Tamandua tetradactyla: one gene and its partners. The protein of the gene in region 2 purifies or fractionates together with the protein of the main gene of each other region. This does not show direct contact. Links are inferred from orthologs where the notes say so. Each region holds a gene or a part of one and is shown on either strand. Other genes may lie near its edges.

Evidence for each region.
Region 1: the proteins of MARK2 (region 2) and FUCA1 purify together in Homo sapiens (affinity purification with mass spectrometry; 3 studies listed by BioGRID and IntAct, counting the BioPlex papers as one, with this or other methods). This does not show direct contact. The link is inferred for Tamandua tetradactyla from reciprocal best matches to the Homo sapiens genes MARK2 and FUCA1.
Region 3: the proteins of MARK2 (region 2) and MTCL1 purify together in Homo sapiens (affinity purification with mass spectrometry; 5 studies listed by BioGRID and IntAct, with this or other methods). This does not show direct contact. The link is inferred for Tamandua tetradactyla from reciprocal best matches to the Homo sapiens genes MARK2 and MTCL1.

The regions. Positions count from the first base shown.
Region 1 is NC_135328.1:202,363,022-202,370,380, forward strand, and holds the start of FUCA1 (tissue alpha-L-fucosidase), read left to right. Parts: upstream 1-4,347; 5' UTR 4,348-4,373; coding exon 4,374-4,774; intron 4,775-6,707; coding exon 6,708-6,842; intron 6,843-7,359. Other genes in the region: CNR2 (cannabinoid receptor 2), read left to right, coding at 1-137. UniProt on the Homo sapiens protein: Alpha-L-fucosidase is responsible for hydrolyzing the alpha-1,6-linked fucose joined to the reducing-end N-acetylglucosamine of the carbohydrate moieties of glycoproteins.
Region 2 is NC_135335.1:10,713,331-10,720,154, reverse strand, and holds the start of MARK2 (serine/threonine-protein kinase MARK2), read left to right. Parts: upstream 1-3,814; 5' UTR 3,815-5,410; coding exon 5,411-5,467; intron 5,468-5,486; exon of another isoform or gene 5,487-6,824. UniProt on the Homo sapiens protein: Serine/threonine-protein kinase. Involved in cell polarity and microtubule dynamics regulation. Phosphorylates CRTC2/TORC2, DCX, HDAC7, KIF13B, MAP2, MAP4 and RAB11FIP2. Phosphorylates the microtubule-associated protein MAPT/TAU.
Region 3 is NC_135344.1:72,112,026-72,119,953, forward strand, and holds the start of MTCL1 (microtubule cross-linking factor 1), read left to right. Parts: upstream 1-4,916; 5' UTR 4,917-5,015; coding exon 5,016-6,083; intron 6,084-6,280; exon of another isoform or gene 6,281-7,928. UniProt on the Homo sapiens protein: Microtubule-associated factor involved in the late phase of epithelial polarization and microtubule dynamics regulation.

The DNA.
Region 1 (7,359 bases), on a different chromosome or scaffold from region 2:
GCCTGGCCCGCTGGAAAAAGCACCTGCCAGGCCTTGGGCATGAGGGGAAAGAAGAGGCCCCGAAGTCTTCGATCTCCGAGACAGAGGCTGATGTGAAAATCACTCAATGGCCAGAATCCATAAGTCTCTACATCTGATGAGGCCTCTTTGCCATTTTCAGGCAATCAGAGTCAGACCTGATTTCACTCCCTGGAGGAGACAGCCATCTTGACCCTCTCATCTTACTCGAAGCAGGTCTGGGGCCCGGACACTTACCCCTTTTGGCTGATGGGTGTTGGGACTGACCTCTGGAGGATAACTTGGTAGTCCCTATCTGCACTTGGTCTCTTGGGTGGCCAGGCCCTGTAAGGGGTGGTAAAGTTGGCGGCACGAGAGGGCCTGGGACAGCTCAATCCATGTCAGGTCAGGAAAACCTTCCCCACTCAGATGGCTTAGTGCCTTCATCCTCCAGAGACCACAGGAGCAAAAGGGAGCCTTTGGACTTGTCAGTGAGAGACCCAGAGGAAACCTGGGGAAAGAATGGATTGTCCTCCTGGAAACTTCAGGTATCAGATGAGATGGCCTAGCCAGTCCCTTGTTCCTGCTTAATTATGAGGCCTTCTTGAATTGGGGCCTCTGAAAGCAGATGCCTTGGGACCAACCTTCCAGTCTCCCTGATCATTAAGGACTGTTGATCCACCTCCTTCATAAGAAACCGTCAAGCCTCCTTCCCAAGGCACCTTGCTATTATTAGGGCAAGGGTCCCCCCTGACACCTTGCTAATCCCCACTTATAGCCACTGGTCCCTGGGGAACATAGGGGAGGCTGGGACCACTTGGGACACAGTGTCTTTAGAGATTGTAATTGGCCCTGTGGAGTCCTGCTTGGTGGTCACTGGAGCAGGCAGTGACACCTTCTCACCTTCACAAAGAATTTAAAAGCCCCAGGATTGTTCCCAGTCTCCTCTGAATTCAACCTTCTTTGCCTCCTTCATGGACTGTGTAATATGCGGAACAAGTAGGAGGAGAGGAATATTCCCTTACTATATACCAGGCATTGGGCTGACATCCCACGGTCCATTATCCCATCCCAGATGCAGCAAGAATACAGCCTCATGCTTTGGATGTATCTATACTTCACATATGAGGGAGGCTGAGTTCCTACTAGAGGGGCTTAACTGTTACTGATGAAAAATTGCAGAGGAATTCCAATGCAATTGTTTGGGACCACAGATTGAATGGAAGGAAAGATATTCAGTAAACGTGTGCTCATTTAATACTTACAAGATGAGGTCCACTATTCATTCACACAGCCATCTATTTTAAAAATATGTGCCAGGCTCTGTCCTAGCTTGTGCATGTCCAGCCATGAATGAGATTTGCCCCTGTCTCTAGGAGCTAATATTCTACATTCTAGTGGGGGAGAGAAATAGTAAGGAGGTTGTGCAGGTTTGAAAGTATTATGTACCTAGAAAATCCATGTTTTAATCCTGATTCAATCTTGTAGCAGGCAGCCATTTCTTGTAATACTGATTCAATATTGTAGGGTGGAAATTTTTATTAGATAATTTCCTTGGAGATGTGGTATGCCCAACTGTGGGTGTGGCCTTTTGATTAGATGGAGATGTGACTCCACCCATGCCAGATGGGGTCTTGATTAGTTTACTGAAGTCCTTTAAAAGAGGAAACATTTTGGAGAGAGCAGAACTGACACAGATGCCGACACTTAAAGAACAGAGATACACATGTTTGGAGATGCTTGGAGCCCAGAAGATGTCACTATGAGATGTTAAGCAAGTTAGAATATAAAGAGAGCTAAGGGAAGTCAAGAGATGAAAGTCAGCCCCAGAGAAGCAAAGTGAGGAACCCCTACAGGAACAGAGGGTGAAAGCAACGGAGCCCAGGAGCACAGAGCCAGCAGATGCCAGCCACATGACTTCCCAGCTGACAGAGCTTTTCCAGACCCAGTAAGCTTCCTTGAATTAATATGTTTCCCTGGATGCCTTAGTGTGGACATCTTTATAGGCTTAGAACTGTAAACTTACAATTTATTAAATTCCCTTTATAAAAGTTATTCCATTTCTGGTATATTGCATTCTGGCAGCTTACGAACTAAAACAGAGGCAAACCTAAATGAAGAAGATAATTATAGATGGTACAATGAAGGAGATCAACCAGGTCACATGATAGGGATTACTTGGGGCATGCAACTTTAGGTAGGCTAGACCTACTATGTACTCTGGTCACTCTTGGCTTTAATTGAGCCTTTACCATATGCCAGGCACCAGGCTGATGCTTTTACTTGCTTCATCTTACTTGGTTCTCACAATAATCTCATGAAGAGGGTCTTGGTATCTTCATTTTATGGATGAAGAAATATCAAAAAGTAAACTCACTTGCTCAAGGTTACTCATAGGTACCAAAGCTGGAGTTTCCAACCCAGATCTGTTTGACTTTGAAGCCATCTGTTTGACTTATCCATTCACCTGTTGGCCTAGTTCAGTTAAATTCTGTTTGAATATTGCTCCTGAGGAATAATATCAGTTTTCTGTAACTTCAAGTCACTGCCAACTGACTCATCATTGTTTCTCAATGTGCTTCACTTTATGCCCCCAGAAACAAAGGCTGCCCCTCTATTAAACCTATATCAAGGACTGTGTTAACCGACAGTCTCTATTTTGGCTTTCCTCATGAGAAGATGAGCTCTGTGTTCTCCTCTGGATCCCCAGTGCTTTCACAGCAAGGAGCGGTTCTTAAGATTCCTTAAGGACCTGCCAATGTTTGTAGAAATGAACTTTTTCTGAAAAGCTGACCATGAACTACATTTTGGAAAATCAAATTTTATTTTAACCTATCTTTTTGTAGAGCAAAGAAATGCCACAATTTTTTAAAGGTCAATTTGCCTGTTCATACAGTGTTGATATTGCATCTTCATATATTTCTTCTGTCATTTTAGCAAAGAAAATGTCCAAGTGCCTGGCACAAATTGGTACTCAGTAAATATTTGTTGAGTGAATAAATTTAGATTTTAAAAATCATGTAATTAAGTGCTGTCTCTTTCATGCTTTCTACCTTCCTCTTCTGCCATGCTCTATTTCTGCTTTAAGTAGAGAAGCAGAGTTTATGGAGGGGAGGAGAGCAAGCAGGGGGAGGGGAAGGGCCCAGGGTATCATCAAGAACTGCCCTCACTGCTTGGATGGAAAACAGGCTCAGACAATGAATGAAACTTGCCCACGGAGACCCAGTGACATGGTGTCCAGGACAAGAAATCCAAGTTTCCTAACTTCTAGTTCTGAGTGCTCTACTGCAATATTTCAACAATCTTACAGAGGAAAAATCACTGGTTCAAAATACAGAAGATAAAGAAAGCAACAGTTTATTCAGCAACAGCCATTGCGTTTCCTTATCATTCCCAGAATGAGGAAGCATGTGGTTCTATCAACAGGGAGTCTAATCCCACCCGGAACCCTGGGTGCAGGACAGAAGCAGAGTGGAGACAGGCATAGAATCTGCAGCCCGAGAACTGGGTCCTGGTCCCACGCCTGACCCGACTATGATTTTCTGGCGCTGGTTCTCTGAAAAATATTCCTCCATGGAGACCTAAGCATAGGTTTTGTCTTTTCCCACGCCTGACCCGACTATGATTTTCTGGCGCTGGTTCTCTGAAAAATATTCCTCCATGGAGACCTAAGCATAGGTTTTGTCTTTTCAATTCGACGCTAAGGTCTTTGAAGTCACTTACCCAAAGGGAGTTTAAGAGATTAGAAATAGTCACACCTGCCCTTCCTCTTTTTTTTTTTTTTAACATGGGCAGGCACTGGGAATCGAACCCGGGTCCTCGGGCATGGCAGGTAAGTATTCTTACCTGCTGAGCCACCATGGCCTGCCCTGCCCTTTCTCTTTCAATGGCTACTTTTCTCCCGCGTCTCCACTCATAGGCCTTCCTTCCATTATCCTGCGCCTCTTCATTCCTGCCAGGGCTGTTACAATGCCCTTCCATCCAGTATCCGCGGTTTCATCCTTAGCCTGTGCACACTACAGCTCCAAAGTTCTCTATGGCTCCCAACTGCCCACCTGTGATCTGACTTCAGCCGTTCTCAGTTGTCTGTACACACCCGGACCTCCCCTTCTCCACGATCTAACTTTGCAGTGGATTCCTTTATAAATCCTCATTCCTCCGTCAGCCCGGCGCTCCCAACGCCTCCTTTTGCCTTTCCCCTTGGAGCGCCAGGGGGCGCTACAGAGCCGACCGAGGCGGAGGGGAAGAGACTAGCGAAGCCGTGAGAGTTGACCCGCCTTCCTTTCGAGCCAATCATTGGCTAGTGGGCGGAGACCGCGCGCCCCACACCTACGCGTTAAGGGGAGGGCGGAAGGCGCAGCCCTGCGGACCCGGAGATGAGGACGCGGGCGGGGCACGCCGCGCTGCTGCTGCTGCAGGCGCTGTTGGTGCCGCCGGTCCCGGGGGACGCCGAGGCCGAGCTCCGGGCTCCGCGCCGGCGCGGGACTCAGCGACGCTACACCCCGGACTGGCCGAGTCTGGACTCCCGGCCGCTGCCGGGCTGGTTCGACGAGGCCAAGTTTGGGGTGTTTGTTCACTGGGGCGTGTTCTCGGTGCCGGCCTGGGGTAGCGAGTGGTTCTGGTGGCACTGGAAGGGCGAGGGGTGGCCCCAGTACCAGCAGTTCATGAGCGACAACTACCCGGCCGGCTTCAGCTACGCCGACTTCGGGCCGCAGTTCACGGCGGGCTTCTTCCACGCTGAGGAGTGGGCTGACCTTTTCCAGGCCGCGGGCGCCAAGTGAGTGTGGACGCGCGGGTGGGCGGAGCGCCCCTGCCCCGGCTGGAGCCGCCCGGGCGCCAGGAGGGGGGGCCGGAGGCGAGGTCACGCAGCTGGCTCGCAGCTGTCCCCAAGCTCCTGTGTTTGCCTCCTGAAGGACGCAGGATTGATTGTGGCACAGCGTGTTGGGAAGCTAGAAGTTTCGACTGGTTGGGGATTAGAAAATAAAGGTTTCGGGAAGCAGGTGAGCTGGAAAGCCCTCAGTCGCTACGCAGTCCTCTGACGTGGGTGGCACCTGATGTCCTTTCCGGGCCCACCAGACAGGATTCCAGGATTTTGAACCCGTGGCGTGGATTCAGGTCCCAGCTCAACTGTGAACTCAGCTTTAACACGTCGCTTCACATCCCCCCTGCAGCCCCCTTCGTTGTCATAGTTCGTTCAGTTCTAATATCTCTAAGATGAAAAGGGAGGCAAGGGAGTTGTGGGGTGCAGTGTATTCGGGGCACAGTAGATTTTCGTTCGTCTGCTGTTCCCAGTGCCTTGCCCATAGAAAGTGCCCAAGAAATGTTTGAATTGTTTTGAGAACTGTTGGAGCCTGCGGGTGGTGGTTTCAAAGAACTGAAAGGCCAGCTACAGCCGTGGGGTGGAGGGGGGCAAAGACCTCCGTTGTTGAAAGAACAGGTTGTTGAAGGCAAGGCAGGGTAGTCCAGGAGAAGTAAGCCTTGCGGCAGTGGACACCAAGGAGTGCTTACTCAGCTGCTTGAAGGGTTGGTTTGGCTTCAGGGAGGCAAGTGGGTTGGAGAAGTGCTTGGAGGGAGGCAGACGGGTTTCCCCACTTCCTGGTTTAGAACACAGAGCAGTCTTCCATCCACACTTTATTCCTCAGTCATCTTTGGGATTCTAGTTTTGGTGTGACTTACACTAACGAGAAATTATAACCAGCATTTCGTGTTTCCATAAAATGTATGGGAATATAAGACTTGAATAACTAGAGGCAGTGTTCTCTAGCTTCAAGGGATCTTTAAGAGCTGTAATTTACAAAATGAAAAAATAAAGTCTGGGGGACATGCACTGTCTAGACCCCTTATTTTATGAATGAGGTGACTGTCCCAGAGAGAGGAAGGGACCTGAGATCCTAAACTTCAGGTCCAGTGACTCCAAGATGAGGGTTCTTTCCCTTACACTGGAAGCCTGCAAACAATGCCAGAGGGCCCAGGAATTAAGAATGGTTTTTACATTTTTAAAGGGATGTAAAAAACAAAGAATATGCCACAGAGGTGACTGCAGCCCAGAAAGCCTAAAATACTATCTGGCTTTTTGTAGGAAAACTCTACAGCACAAAGATGACAAGTCCCAAAATGAAGTGTCTTAAATTTGTGATAATGGATTCAGCCTTTTGTATAAAAGCTGTTTCTCAGACAGGCCACATCAGTCGCATGATAGTTTCTGTAGTTCCCCACACCAGTCAGTGAGTAAGTTATCACATGGAGACATACCTGTTTTTCTGCCATAAAAGCAAATAAATGATTTTGGTTGTGATTTCAACATGTGCTGTTTCTCCCTAGCACTTGTGATCCTTTGTCATCTCTGTAAATGAGAGGCAATTCATATAATCTTGGTTAAAAAAAAAAAACTTAATTTTCTATTATCTTCACGCAAAGGGTTAAAATAAAAGGCTAATAATATTGAAGGGTTAAAGAATGAAAGTGCTTAGGTACATTTTTTTCCCTCTAGGCCTTCTAGGCTGCAAATGAAGGGCAGTGGCTAACTCTAATTTGCCTCCATTGCTGGAACGAACACCCCCCCTCCTCCAGGGGAGTTGTGACTGCGGCATCCCCCAGTGTGTATTTCCTGTAGTTCTTCCAACCACTTTTAAAGCCTCCGGAACCCTGGGCAAATTCATACACACAGTCCCCTGCCTGCTTTTTTGCTCATATGATTCTGATGTCCACAGGTATGTAGTCCTGACTGCAAAGCATCACGAAGGCTTCACAAACTGGCCAAGTGGTGTGTCTTGGAACTGGAACTCTCAGGACGTGGGACCCCATCGTGATTTGGTTGGTGAGTTGGGAACAGCGCTCCGGAAGAGGTGTGTATCTATCTTCGCTCTTGATCTAGCAATGCAGTGCTCCATTCCTTCTCTACTCTCATGTGTTTTCTAAATTTCCAGTGTAGGAAGTAATTGAGGTAACCTGAAGAGCTTCTGGCCTTCACATTAGCAGTGTCGGTAAACCTGCAACTTCTCTAATAAAAAGTCAGTAAATAAATAAATTTATAGTCTTTTTTTTTTAATGACTTCGCATGGATCACTTAAGTGTTGACAAATAAAGTGGAGCTAATGTATAGTTTCTGAAGCATCTAACTAAAAGACATTGATGGTAATCTCATTTATTGTGTCATTTTGTCAAACCAAGAGTAGTCAGGGGGTCTAGAAATTCTTCTACTCCCAACAAATAGAATACCAGCTGAAAACTTGTAAACCTATTATTCACATGAGTGTGGGACATCTCTGTCCCTTCAGACCACATAATGGGTTCATCGAAAGATAAGTGATGACTAGGAAGAGTAATGATAAAGAAACAGATGGTGCAGAGGTCTGAGCGAAC
Region 2 (6,824 bases):
GACAAAGAGGTGCAGATACCAGGAGGAAGCCGGGGCCTGCCCGTGAGGGTAGACGGGAGTGTGTCTGGTTCCTTTGCGAGGACCATCTAGGGGAGGTCAGCCTCTCCTGGGGAGTGTGGGGCAGAGTTAGGACTTTCAGCTCTGAGAAGAAGATGGATAATCACTTTTCATTCTTTCTTGCACTGCCTTTATTACCGTGAATTCCTAATTTTTGTATCTCATTTATCTTTCTCTTATATCTGAAATCCTGTCTGCAGGACATGCAGCTGTTACAGGAAACTGCCCTGAGACAGACACTAGTTCATGGGATACTAAACCCAGTACCAAAAATCCCATCTTCTCAAATAGTGAGCCTGTTATATTGTGTGAAGGACAGCTGGTGATGGGAGCCTGGCTCCACACAAGGCTGCCAAGTCTCCAAGCCAGAGAGACTCAGGAGCGTGAACTACAGCTAAATTTTCACCCCCACTGCCCCACTCCTCCCACCACACACACAGGTTTTCCTCATCATAGCAGAAGAGGCAGAGCTTAGCTTTAGAGAGTACATAACATAAGAATTAGGGTCTCCCACCAGACTGTGTGTGTGTGTTTCTTAATCACTAGTCACATTTCCCATCGTGACTATTGGTTTGCAAAGACTCCATGGTCCTATATCTAGAAGGTCTTGGCAAAATTGCTGACATTTGGATCTCAAGAGCTGTGGTATATCCTCTGGATTTTCCTACGTTGGGATGTAGATGTTTAAAGTGCTTTTTATCAGGGGAGACTATAGTGGCAGGGGCGTTTTATGGAAAAGAGAGAACGATTGAGCTGGCTCTACCCAAGTTCAAGTCTGAGCCTTGAGAGTAGACGACCAGAACTTGGCTTTCAACTGCAGAGCTTTCCTAGATCAGTTTGAAAAGTTCCGTCTCATCTGGAGATGCAGAGCATTTATGGTGAGCACAAGTTCCACCACAAGTTGTTATATGGAATTATAACAATAGTGAGTTCCATTTGCATTTAGAATATACCAGGCACTATTCTATGTGTTTGGATGGTGTTGGATATTTGGCATGTCTGATCTTACACCTTTTGTTTCAAGGCTTGGTAGAGACCACTTCGTGCCTGGAAAGTTCTTTGTCCTTGGTAGTCAACATAGACAGGATAGGATGGATATCAGTGACCTTGTACAGCCCAGCTAAATTCTTTCACTAGAGGTGTCCTAGGTGGGTTTCTTCTCAGTCTTCAGGACTTTATTTAAGCTTCTATGCCTGTTGGTAGTTACAGCTGCCCTTTAGAATTTGTTGGAGGGAGGGAGGGTCCTGTATTCCTTTTGTATTCTGCCCTTTCTGTGCATTTGGAGCTGGAGAGCTATGGATTTGGTTGCTTGCCTCCTTCAAAATAACGATTATTCTCTTGTCTGCAGTCTTTGTAATAGTACATCCAACAGTGCTCAACCCCGCCCCCCTTTCTCCCCAATACCACCTGTTAACTGGTGGTTCTAGTTCCTCAGGGCTTCCACCAGCACATGAGCTAATCTGTATCAAAGAGCCCACCCCCAGACCCCTGTCACAGTGGTTAGAAAGCACAGAGCCTCCAACACTCAGCTGTGAAACGTGAACCCAGGTCTTTGCTGCCTTAGCCATAGCTAAGCTGGCTGTTCTCTGGGCCTTTTCATTCTCTTAGAAATCGTGCAAACAGGCTCTCTTCTAGGACTCTGAAAAGATGAATTAATTATGAAATATACTTTTTAAGAAGGTACTTGTAATGGTAAATGGCTATCATCTGGTTTACTGTACTCTGCTCCTAGGCCAAATACACAAGTAGCTAGGGCACCCTGGAGTGGAACTGTCATTGCTGCCAGCAAGTGAACCACGGTGTTTGGCTTTGGGAGCACCCTAGGCCTAAAGTCACAAGCTGACATATATTTGGTCTCGCTGAGAGGCTTGCACTCTTTAGTATTTTCCGCCACTTTTGACAGAAGAAACCTTTTCCATTTATCTGGCAAGCTAGTCAGGGCACCTGCCCAGGTCATGGCCACTTAGAATCCAGCAGTCTCTGCCCTCAGCCCAGGGTTGCAGCAGCAGGGGTGGCAAGCCCAGCGAGGTAGAATGAGGCCCATTCCTTGCTTTAGTTGCCTCATAGCCTTGTAGGAGAGACAGAGTGTTTGACCTGATGTGCCAGTGTACTGTCTTAGGATCCCGTTTCTCTTCTCTAGCTGCAAGCTTTCCTACCTGGTCTTCTTAACCCATCCATCCCTTCTCCTGTAAGGCAGTACCTTTCAGCATTCCTTTCCTCCAGCCTTATTCCTGGTCTCTGTCTGGGTCAGTATCTCCTTATCCAACCTTATGCTCCAATCACCTCCAAATGCCCGATTCTTTACCACCGTGGTTTTTAAGTCCCTATCATCTCCACCACCACCACCCCCAGCTCTTGTTTCAAGCCCAGTTTCTGCTGCCCATGATGTATAGAGAGCAAAGATAGTTCCTGGATCCCACGTTGGAACTCTGAAGTCCTTTTCCTGTTCTGAACTATGCTTTAGAGCTGAAGTACAGTTAATATTTTACTTTTGATCCAATGGTGGGCCCTCATGGGCTGGTTTTGAGAACACAACCACCGTTTGTGGCATGTCTTTATGGAAAAATAGTTCCTACTTAACACAGGAAGGAACTGTTGGTAAGTTGGGGATTTCTTGACTAATATGCTGCAGCAGATTTGCTTGTGCCCTTGTGGAAGTGTTCTCATTACTTTGCAGACATAGCACCATCTATCACAGAAATAAGTTGTCCTTTTGGATGCTGAATGAGCATTAAATAAAATAAAATAAAATAAAAAAAACACTTCCCTGACACCCCACCCCACTCCCCACACCCCCAGCTGAAGTTTGCCACAAAGCTATGCTGATTCTCTCTGATTGCTCTGCGGGGCAGTTGTGTGATTCTCAATATCAGCTCACTGACCCGTACTTAGGTAGCACCAGAAATGGGGCACTCCACCCCCACCCCCAGCCCACCCCTACGGCTCAGATGTCTGTTCACCTGCTTGGGTTCTTAATGATCTGCTGTATGAGAAAGATAACATCTCAGCCTATGAACAGGAACGGCCCAGCAGGGGGTTTTGCTTTTAGAAACAGCAGCCAGTTGGATTTTTAATGGTCACTTAACTGGAGCAGCTGCATCACAGCATGGCCCTGTGGGGAATAGTTCTGAGGCCAGGGTGGCAGTGACAGCCTTAGGTGATTTTTGTTACTTCTTCTGCTTGAGCTTTGACCTCTAGCCATGGTTACTTCTAAGGCAAGCAGACTTTGCCCCAGTGTTTTTTTCTGACATTTCCTCTTCCTTCAACTCCCCTTTTGAAACTGGAGGAGTAAGAAAGCAGTATGTTTTCCATTTCCAGATAAAGATGAAATGGAAAGAGAAGCAGTGTCTTGTTCAGCACCTTCCAGTGGTAGGGCTGGAACCAGATGGGACCCAGAAGGCCTGTTTCCCGCCCAGCACTGGATCTATTCTGCAGCATAAAGACATTTTAAAGAAATCACATTGCAAAAGGGCAGAGACAAAGAAATAAATCTACATCCAGGTAGAAAGGCTGTTGCATAAATAGCAAGGTAGTTTTTTGTTTGTTTGTTTTATTTGTTTAAAAAAAAAATGATCTCATGCTTCTTTTTTACTTTGTGTTGGCAAAAAACCCAGGAGAAGATGGGAGATTCTGGGAGGAGATGATTATGCTGGGTGAGTCAACTGAGCTCCCCAGCTGCCGTTTTTAGTTCCTTTGCTTTTCTGTAACAGGAGGCTGTTTGGGGAGTGGTGGGGGGTAGGGTGGGGAATGCTGGTTTATGCATCAAGACAGGAGGCAGGTGTGTATGTGTATGGGTGATTTTCTTTTGGTAGGTGGCACCCTGGGGTTGACAGGGCCTTATGATCAGTGTATTGGTTCAAACAGAAGATACCAAAACAGAGCCTATAGTTAGGCTCTGCTGCAAGTCACTGTCACTTCCCCAAATCAATAGTGTTAAAGTTGCATTGCATTGTTGTAGTAAGATACAATGTTTTTTTAGCATATCAGTGGAAAAATTGAACGTAAAGAGGCAGAGAGAAGAATTGTCTTAAGTGGGAGTGGCTGGTAGTTGTCACAGGCAACAGGAAGTTCAGAGGAGAGGTTTCCCCCTCTGAGATGAAAGGAGGGCTTGGGCTTAATGGAGGGTGGCCAGGGAGTCTGCCCTGCTGGTCCTTGGCTAAGCTTTGTGTTCTGAGTTCCTCTGCACTTCACCTTGGTGACCCCTTTACCTGATGCTTTGTGTCAGGAGAGAGCACCTGAGCCTTTTCCCACCTGAGAAAGCTCGCTAGTGGAATTAGATTTCCATCGGTGTCATCCAGGGAATCTTGTGGCCTACTGCTCTGCTGGTTGTCTGCAGAGTGCTATGATTTGGGGGATCACAGAGATTTTCATGAAGATGCCCCACCACATTTTCCTATTTATTCACTCTTACATATATGTTCTCTCAGTACATTTTGAATACGTCTGCTGTGCTAGACATTGTTCTGGGCCATGAATAAGATGGGCCTGTGTCCCTCTTTTGCAGTGTAGGCTGGTGGGAAGGAGAGATGGTATCCAACCAATTTCAAGGGTGATGAATGTCTGGAAAGGGGAAGCAGGTCTCATGGCAAGAGGTTTTGGTCTTGCTTCCTCAGACCTTCTTCTCCTTAGAAAATGAAGGCCACTCTGTCCTGGGGGGCTTTAGGGTTCACAGAGTTGTACCTCTTTTATTCCATATGTAAGTAACATGTGCACTGGTAGGCATTGGGGGCACACAAAGCAAGCAGGCTACCATCTCTGGCCTCTCAGGGCTTGAGAGAGGAAAGACATGGAGACACAGAGTAAAAAAGATAAGCCAGTGTAGATAAAGTGCTTTGAGAGTCCAGAAAAGGGAGCAGTTACTCCCAGTTAAGAAGTGTCTAGATAGTTCTTTGAACACAAGGATTTAGGTAAAACAAGGGATAGAAGATTTACTTACCTGAATTACTTAAAGAAAGCATGTGGTTGATGGAACTCTTCATCCACAATTCCATTCCATTCCCTCCAAGGCAGCCAGAGAGGTAGAGCTGGGACTTGACCCCAGGATGACACCCTTCACTACCATACCATATGCAGCTTCCCGGAAGTGTGCTGGAGGGAGCCAGCAGTGTAAGCTGGGTGTAGAAGCCCAGAGTCCTGAGAATGTGCTAAAACATAAGCTGTTAGGCAAAAAAAAAAAAGGGGGTTAGAGGGAAGCCCAGGCACCTCAACTCCACTTCCCACAATCTTCTGTAAAGGGAGCCAAACCTTTGTGCTGCAGGCTGACTTCTCCCTACCCCCTCCACCCCCATTCCCCAGGGCCTTGGGCTGCTGGCAGGCTGGCTCTCCTGTGATATGGAGGAACTTGCTGGTCTCCATGGTTACAGTAACCCACTGGTACAAGAGGAGCCGAATGGAGTGCAACGCTAGCAGTGTGAGCTTCCCCCAGTCCTTGGCACCACGTGGTACTGGTATATCGGCTGTTTCTTTGACCTTTCCTGGGAGGAAAGAGTTAAGGAGCTGGTCAGAAAGGGAAGGGTCCAGTCAGGGCCTGGAAGGACCACCTTCATCCTCCTCTGGGTAGCTGCAGAAGACAGAGGCATGGCTCCCTTTCCATTCACCCACTCTTCCCAGCAAGAATGCTTTTATGTTAGGAAAGAGGGTCATCTTTGCCTGACAGCCCAGCCAGAGCATAAGGGTGCCTTTCCCTTATTTTAGAAGGCGTATCAGGATGGCAAGAACCTAGGTACTTGTAGTCAAATGCTTAGAGGTTATAGCTCTTTCAGGGCCCAGAGAACCCCTTGAGATGGGAAACATTAACAAGTCCTTGCTGTGTATGCCAAGCACTGACATAGATTCTCTCATTTAGTCCTCACATAAATCCTGTGAAATGGGTACAGTTACTAGCTTTTAATGTCCTTGTGTTCCAAAAAGGAAACAGACTAGAGAAGTAATCTTGCTTGTGAAATAGCTAGCAAAGATGGGGCTTAAAGCCAGGTCCACCTGACTCCAGAGCTCTGCTCTCTAGTCTCCCTTAACAAAGTGAGCTAGAGCTGCTATAATAAGTCTCTCTATACAGCTTCCCTCTAAGTTTCTAGAATGCAGAAATCAGTCTCACTGAACTTTACATCTGGCCCTGGCTCCAGAAATAGGTGCTCAAAAAAGGTTTGATGAAATGGCGGCAGTAGTTGGGATTTGAGACAGAGCTCAGAGCCCAGTGAGCAGATCCTCAGAGATGAAGTGGTGGTGGAGGCTGCTGGAGCCATGGTTGCCCTGGTCACAGAGGAGCCAGGCATTTCAAGTGGCTCTAAAAAGGAAGGTTTTTGTGTGGTACGCATTGCTCTGTGGCTTCCATGCTTGAAGAGGAGTGAGCTGGAGTAGGCGGTTTGTTCTGATCTCACTCCAGGTCAGTTCTTGCCTACTCATCTTCCCCCAGGGAGATTCTGGCTTCTGCTGCGGTTGCTTTGAGGCTTGCAGGCTCCCCTCATGACCTGGGCTTCAGGGCTGGACTCCCTGCTTTGGGATGAGGGTTGCAGCTCAGAGAACATGCCAGTGGGGGCCAGTTGACAGCAGAAGGGAAGCCAAGCACCTTACTTTTGACTCTGTGGTTAAGTAGCAGGCTCTACTGGTCTCCTTTATCAAGGATCCACCTTCTCTGGCTGGAAAAGGGAGCATCCCTTTGGCGGCTTTGTACAGCCCCAGCCTTCCCTGCAACAAGAGCATAAAGGAATGTGAACATCCCCAGGAGGGGCCATTACAGTTCATTTTTGGGGTGGGGGTACATCTGGCCT
Region 3 (7,928 bases), on a different chromosome or scaffold from region 2:
CTGAACACCATGTTCTAGATAAAAAAATTCTATTAGGGGCGGGCCGCGGTGGCTCAGCGGGCAAAGTGCTTGCCTGCTATGCCGGAGGACCTCGGTTCGATTCCCGGCCCCAGCCCATGTAACAAAAACGGAGAAACAGAATACAATAAAACAAGAAAATGTTTAAAGATGTTTCCCTTCCTTCTATCCTTCCTTCCTTCTCTCTGTCTTTCCTTTAAAAAAAAAAAAAAAAAAAAAATTCTATTAGGTTGATACAAAAGATAAGATCCTAGCTTCACTGGAAGACAAAAGAAATTCATGGAGCTAAAAGTCTTTCTATTTAGCATTTCCCTTTGACCTGGACAACTATTAAACAAGTTTAGCTGCTCAGAGATTTATAGCCCTTAAATATGCCAACTTTTTTTTTCTCCAGTGTTTAGGCCATCATTCTCAAGGAGCAATACCTGCTAATGCACAAAAATTGTGTTTTCACATATTCAGATATGCCTGTCACTCAAAGGTAATTAATAGTGTGCCTTTCTTTCAAGTGTGTTCTGGCCTACATGATAAATTTTATGATCACCCTAATTATTGGAGAGATTTCCCACAGATGGGGCCTGTTAAATGAGAGGACTGGCAAATGCTTTTTGTACCTCATCCTACACTCGAATTCTGTGAGCAGTATTTAAGGAGCCAATGACGAAAGTTACTTATTCTAAGCCCCTAACATCAAGAACCACTTAAAAACATGGTTAACTCTTAGTATTCTGTCCCAACAGGTAATCAAGAATACATTTTAGTAATATTTGTTATTTATTCCATCATGTTAAACTTAATTATGATTTTCTTCTGTTAAAATTAGTTTACACTCTTTGACTACATATTGTCTGAGAATGAACAGAAGTGGCCTACCATTTACTATGGATAATCCCATGTTGATAATTAAAATAGCACGTACAAGTTCTCCTTAACTCCCAGATTCATAAAGCTGGAAAGTTTATTAAAGCTCATTTAAGTTCAACTCCCTAATTTTATAGGCAAGGTCTCTAACACCCAGGAAGACTGGAGCTATTCTATTCAAGGTAACTGAACAAAACGTTGTGTTCAGGCCTGGAGTTCACATTGTTATATGTCTTCATTGGTAAAATTTGCCTGGCAGTAATTACTGCACAGTAATAATAACTAAAATGTGTTTTTATGATGATTTTATATAGTGTCCTATCTCCTTAATTGAATAGGTTGCTTACTTCGTATGTATTATCTGCTACGGAACCTTCTATGCACCCATTGTTTTATTTTTGTTTTCCACGTAAACTTGCCCTTATTTTGTATATTTTGTATGTAAAGAGGAGCATTAAAGCTGGGCAGGAAAGACAGCGTCAGCAAGAAGTGTTTATTTCATTTTCTACTTCAAGTCACCATGTTTGCTTTGAAGGGTAGTAACTTTGTAGGGAGAGAAATAAGCAATGCTGAATTATAATAAAAGCACACACAAGACTTGCCGTACAGTTCAGAATTGACATGTTGAAATGCGCAGTGTTCTAAATTATGGGGTGACAGCATACCATCAATTTCCCTTCATTTTTGAAAAAAAAAAAAAGAAACTGGGAACGGAGAGGTAAAATGTGTCAATTACGTAGAGTGAGGTTTGAAAAAGGATAAATATAAACTAACTTTGATTCATTTTACTTATTTAGCTTATTTAACAACTTAAATTTCCCTATGCAACAAGCTTGGAATTAATTATTTAAAATAATTAAAAAATTTTTAGCAGCTACATTGTGAGAGGAAAGAGCTCTGGACTTTTAATTTCAAATTTAGCAAACATGCCATAAGCCTTTCTAAAGGAATACTCTCCCTTTAATGGAATCCAGCTCATTAAATCACCTGGAAGCTATTTTACATGACACAGGACCTTCACCCCACTTCCAGCTTCTGTGGAGGGTGGGGTGCTATTCTAACACTAACCACCAGGTGGCATCTTCCAAGACATCTCAGTTTAAGGGATTGACTGTTCCTCCCACAAAGAGCAGGGTAGGAGAAAGGGAAGGACTGTGTCTGGGCAAACAGATCAAACCAACACAGTCACACTTGGATTTTGTTTTACAGAATAAAGCACTTCGAGGCTCCTCTAAATAGTGAACTCCCTAATGTCTATAGAAGCATTTGATTTACAAAAAAAAAAAAGATTTTTACAATCACATGCAACTTTTAAAAAACATCTATTACGCAAGCAGATATTGCTTTATACTTGCATCTCACTGAATATTGGAAAACGATGAAAGCCTTCTTGAACATCTTCTGGCTAAGAGTTAGTAGAAACAATTGCCAGGTTAACAATAAGGAATATGAATTTGTTTGACTTATGTGGGGGCAAAGTAAGCTTGCTGCAAATCGTATGGTCACATAAGCTAATGTTTTTCGCTTTCTCTGGACTCTTTGATGAAGTAGTCCTGAGGCGGTCTTTTGCAGGATTCTATATGGTATGAAGCGGCAAGAAAGCTTTGCAAAGGTATTGGAAGTAACTCTCAGAAATGTGAGAGTGTTAGGAACTTCTGGGTCTCTGGAGGAAGCTGTGGGCAAAGGTCCTGGTCACCGGGCTCACGTTAGTTGCACCCTGGGATGTGACCGTTGCCAGCTGCTGGTTGACTGGCAGTCACAAGAAGGCGTCAGAAGGGCCCTTAGGACTGAGGGGGCTGATGGCCTGGATGACCACGGGGCAAGGGTGGCACAAGCCTCTCAAACTAACATGCCTCATTGCCAGAAATTTCTGCAGCTACTCTCATCCGTGCCAACAAGACAAAGTCCATCGTTTTCCCCCTTTCTCCTAATATTTATTGAGATATAACTGCGGTCTTCTTAGATAGTGCATCAAAGCTGATTTGGTAGAGATTCTTTTTTGTGTGTGCTGCCCGCATTCAGAGGAGCACCCAGACCAACAACTGGCAAAATCTGAAACAGCCAGTGAGGGTTCCATCCCCCTCAGACCTGGGCAGAGGGGGCATGGCCAGGGCTTCTCCTCCAGGGAATCTGAGCAGAAAGCAGGCAGGATGTTTTCTGAGGGCACCGTCCTGACTAGCAGGATTTTTAAAAAATCAGTTGACACTGTATTTTTTGAAAAAGGTGGGTACAGCAGGTTAATTTGTGATTATGATCACAAACTGTGGAGTCTGTTCTCTTTTTAAATTCATAAACCTGTCCCCCTTTCTCCATACTTCCCCCCACTGCCTGGATAGAGCTATTCATCAGCCCTCACCTGCCCTATCCTCACAGCCACCAGCCTCCCTGCTGCCCAGCTGCCAGCGTGGTCTTTCCAAGCAAACCATGAATCCCCTCCTACTCAGAACCCTCCAAAGGCTCCCTCAGCCTCTAGGGTAACATCCAAATTCTGCAGCAGATATTTGGCCCCGCCCAGGCTGCTGGCATGTCCTTGTCCCTCACCCATGAGGCTCGCCATCCTTCCAGGTGCGTCTCAAACATCGGCTTCAGAAGAAGCCTCCCACCATCTCCCCGGCTGGGTTAAATGTCCATCCCAACACCTGTAATTCCTGTCTGCTCCTACGCCTCCCTCCCCGCCAGCACTAGGGGACAGACTTGGGTCCTAGTTCTTTCACTGTTTTCCAACTTCCAACCCCTGCAACAGACACTGACTTCAGTAACGCTTGCAAAGCCCTTTACAGTTTAAAAAGTGTTTTCTCCTATTTTGCTCATTTAATCCTCACAAACACCTGGGCGGGGGGAGGCGTGGGGGGAGGCAGGGCGTGTCTTCCGATTATACAGGCTTCTGAGTGAACCGAGGCTCGAGAAGGTCGAGTGACCAGGACAGGTGCTCAAATCTCGGTGGCCTGGGTCCCCGAGCCCAGAGAGCACGGGGTGGAGAATCTCACCGACCGGGGTTCGAATCCCGACTCGGCCACCGACTGGCTGAGGGACCCCAGCAGGCGTCGTCACTCTCCCTCACCTTCGTCCTCCCCCGCGAGGAGGGTCATCCAATTTGGGGTCGTTATGAGGACTCATTAAAACAAGGCCTGGGGACCGTCGGGCCGCGCTGGGGCGTGGCCGGGAGCGCCCTTTCTGACCCCGGGCTTGGCGAGCCGTTCCTGCACAGCCTCCTTCCCTGGGCTCCCCGGGCCACTGGGCGTGCCAAGAGTGGAGCGCCGCGCCCGTTTGGACCCGAAAGCGGTTTGGAGTACCAGCTGTCCTTAGAGGAGCGTGGGGACGGCGGGGGCGGGGAGTGGGGGGGCCCTGAAGGATGGGGCTCGGATGGGGGGGCCGTGAGGGCTGGAGGTGGTGGTCAGCGGAGGCCAGGCGGGCGCGCCACCCCGCCCTTCCCCGCCCACACACATCATAGAGGGGCTCCGCGACGCCGCCACCGCCGGCTGCCCCCCCATCCCCCAGCTTCGGGCACTGTGTCTCCCGCCTCAGAAATCGGGGCGGATCCCAGCGTTGGGAGGGGGCCGGGGGGACACGCCCTCGCCCCGGAGCCAGGCCCCGCCCTCCCCGGCCTGGCCGCGCCGGGTGCTCTGGCAGCGCGAGGCGAGCGCGGGCGCCGGGACGGCTGGCGGGGGCCGGGACATGCGCACAGGGCGTCGGGCGCAGGGGCGCGCGCTCGCAGTCCTCTCGGGGGGGAGCCGGGGGAGGGCGCGGGCTGGGGCGGCGGGCGCTGCGGGGGAGCGAGGCCCGGCCCGGCAGTGGGCGGGGAGCGGGCGCTGCGGGGATGAATGGGGGCCTGTGAGGCCGAGGCCAGCGCGGCTGCCCGGGGAGGCGCGCGGCCGGGCGCCGGCGAGGCGAGGGCGCTGGAGCTTCGCTGACCGGAGCCGGCTAGGGGCGGCCCGCGAGCGCAAGAGCAAGGGGCGAGCGGGCGGCGCAGGCGTGCGCGAGCCCCGCGGGGACCCTTCGGGCCGGGGTGCGGGCGGGGAGGGCGGGGGAGGCGGAGGGATGAGAGAGCACTCGGGGAAGCTGCCGGTCGCCGCCACTGTCGCCGCCGCCAGGAGCATCTGCCGCGGGAGCTGCAGCCCGCCGCCCGTGCCCCGGCCATGGAGACGCTGAACGGCCCCGCGGGCGGCGGCGCCGCGGACGCGAAGCCACCGCCGCCCGGCCAGCACCACCGCCACCACCACCTGCACCCGCTGGCCGAGAGGAGACGGCTGCACCGCGCGCCTTCGCCCGCCAGACCCTTCCTCAGGGACCTGCACGCGCGGCCCGCGGCGCCGGGCTCGGCCCCGGCCGCCCCCTCCCCGGGCCGGGCCCCGGCCCCCGGCCCCCCGCGCTCGCCCAATCTCGCGGCCAAGGCGCCGTCCTCGCCCGGACCCCTGCTGGCCGCTCCCGGCCGTCTTTCTCGGCGCGGCGGCGGCGTCCCGGGTACGAAGGACAAGCCGCCGGCGGGTGCCGGGACCAAGGTGGCGGGCGGCGCCAGGGCCGCCCCGGGTCCCAGGAAGGCGACGCGCGCCGAGCTGCTGGCCCGGGCGGGAAAGCCGCCACCGCCGCCTGGAGCCGAACCGCCGCCCGCCGCCGCCGCCAAGGGCCGCCAAGCCAAGCGCGGTCCCGGGGCGCCCCCCGCCCGCGTCGCCGGCCCCCTGGGCCCCGTCGCTTCCCCTGCGGCCCGCGCCGCTGGCTCCCCGGCTCCCGGCTCGCGCCTCAGCCACACGGACAGCAGCTCCGACCTCTCCGACTGCCCCTCTGAAGCCCTGTCGGACGAGCAGCGCCTACTCCCCGCCGCCAGCAGCGACGCCGAGTCCGGCACCGGCTCCAGCGACCGCGAACCCGCGCGAGGAGCCCCCGCGTCGATCCCGGCAGCCCGGGGGGCGCCGTCCAGCAGCCCGGAGCCCCCCGCGCGCCTCGCCGCGCCCCCTGCACCCAGCACCGCCTCCGGGGGCGCCAGCAGTCCTGGCGGGGTCTCGGCCGGGTCTCCGGTGCCCGGTGCGGCGGACGATGGTGGGGGTCGCGCGGTGTCAGAACGAGCGGACCCCGGGAGGGGCCACGGAGGCGGCGGGACCCCCAAGGATCCCCGCCCGGGCGAGCCGCCTCGGCAGTTGCGGGCAGCGGACGAGGAGGAGCTGCTGCGGGAGATAGAGGAGCTGCGCTCGGAGAACGATTATCTCAAGGTGAGCGGCGCGTCCCGCGGCACGTGGCCCCGAGGTGCGCGCCCCGCTTCCCGCGTCCCGCGAGGGGCCGGCTGCGGCAAGGACCCGCGAGCACCGCCTTCTGGGGGCGCATGAGCGCCTTTCCCTCTCGCCCTCTTCCTCCCCTCCTTCTCCCGCGCGCGCCGGGAGTGGGGAACTTCACCCGCAACTCTGAAAGGCGGTCGTCAAGCCATTTGGCTTTTCTTGAGCCTCCAGCTCTCGCTTCTGGGCGCTGACTCCTTTGCCCCTCTCGTCGCTTGGGAGAAGGGCCGACTGTAATAACATTTTGGATGCAGCACTTTACGTCCGGTGACTCCATGCGTGCCACCCTCGCCTGTGGGAGGGGTGGGATCACCCCTTAGCGAAGGCCGTGTAGCCCCGGAAATGCGCGTTCATTTGGATGGCCTGGAAGGGGCGGGCGCCTCCCCTGCAAGCAGAGATAGAGCCAGGGACCCTAGGAGTCTCCATCTGGGACCCTTGACAGCGCAGGCAGAGAGGGCCAGTTTTCGGTGATACCGCTCAAGTGCGGAAGCCTCTTGACTTGGCCTCTTGCTGAGGGACAGCAGGGTTTTGCTGGCAGGTCCTTTGTTAAGTGTCCGCGGACCAGGTTTTCTTGTGTCAGAAGAGGCTGAGTCCCTCCACAAGCACACTTTCGAGGGATTCTCTGAAATCTCTGTTTCCCTGCAGGGCCTGCTGGTGATGGCTTCTTGGTCCTTTTAGCATGAGGGCGACTCCATCTTTTCTCGGGGAAGCAGGGCGGGGGCAGCAGCACAGAGGGTTCAAATCTTCTCGGCAAACAAGACCATTGGGAGTCTGGAGAAAAAATAAGGGGATTGTATTGAGTACAACTCTATTTTAATTTATTGCAATCCTCAGGTTAGTAAATAACTCTGGTGGTATGCGTTTATTCATGTGCCTATTAAGATTTTAATGAATGTCTTCCCAATCCAACGGAGTTCTGCTTCCCCATCCCTTGGTTATGCTTTTTGAGCTGTGTTTTCAGCAGATGATGAATCTGCCGGGCTCAGGCCCAACTTTGGGCTGGTGGAGCCAAGGGGGTGGTGGTGTTTGGGGTGAGTGGTGGCTGAGCCTGCAGTTCAAACTGAACCAGGCACATGGGTTGTCCTAACTCTTGATCTTAGCAGGAACTGCACCAGTCACCTGAGCCCAGTAGTTCTTTTATTTCTTGAAAAGAGGTAACAGGGAGACAGAGCGGTGAGAATGAAGAGCAGGTTGGGACTTGGAGAGAGGTTTCAAATAGATACATTTGCTTTTTGGCCAGCACGTTTCATGTCCTCCACAAATGAGTACTCCCTGAGGGCTAGGAAGATAAACTTGTTCATTTTTGCAACCCCAGGTCCCAGGATAAACCTGGACCCATGGTGTTTCTGATTGAATGATAGTTCTCCAAATCATGACTGCTGGACAACAGAAAATTGAGTTTCTTTAAAGAAAAAAAAAAGCCTCTCTTTACATCTTGGATCTTGGAATAGTTGGGCTGATACCATTTCAGCGTGCAGTCCTGGTTGACTGGTTATTTGCTTGGTCTTGTCACATTATTCGATTCCTCTGTGTTTGATATTTCGGTTGAGTCCAGAACACCAGAGGATAGTCTATTGTTGTAATATGTTTTATGGCCCCAATTTCGCAGACATGGATGCCGAGACTCCAGAAGGGTTAAATGATTTATCCAAGGTTGTACAGCTGGTATAGTTTAGCAGCTTTTATTTTCCTGCCTCCAGAGCCTTTGCTCTTTTCACTGCATCAGGCTGCACCCTGACTTCCAGCAAGGCTGCTTTTCTCAGGCTTTGCTGCTTCAGGATTGTT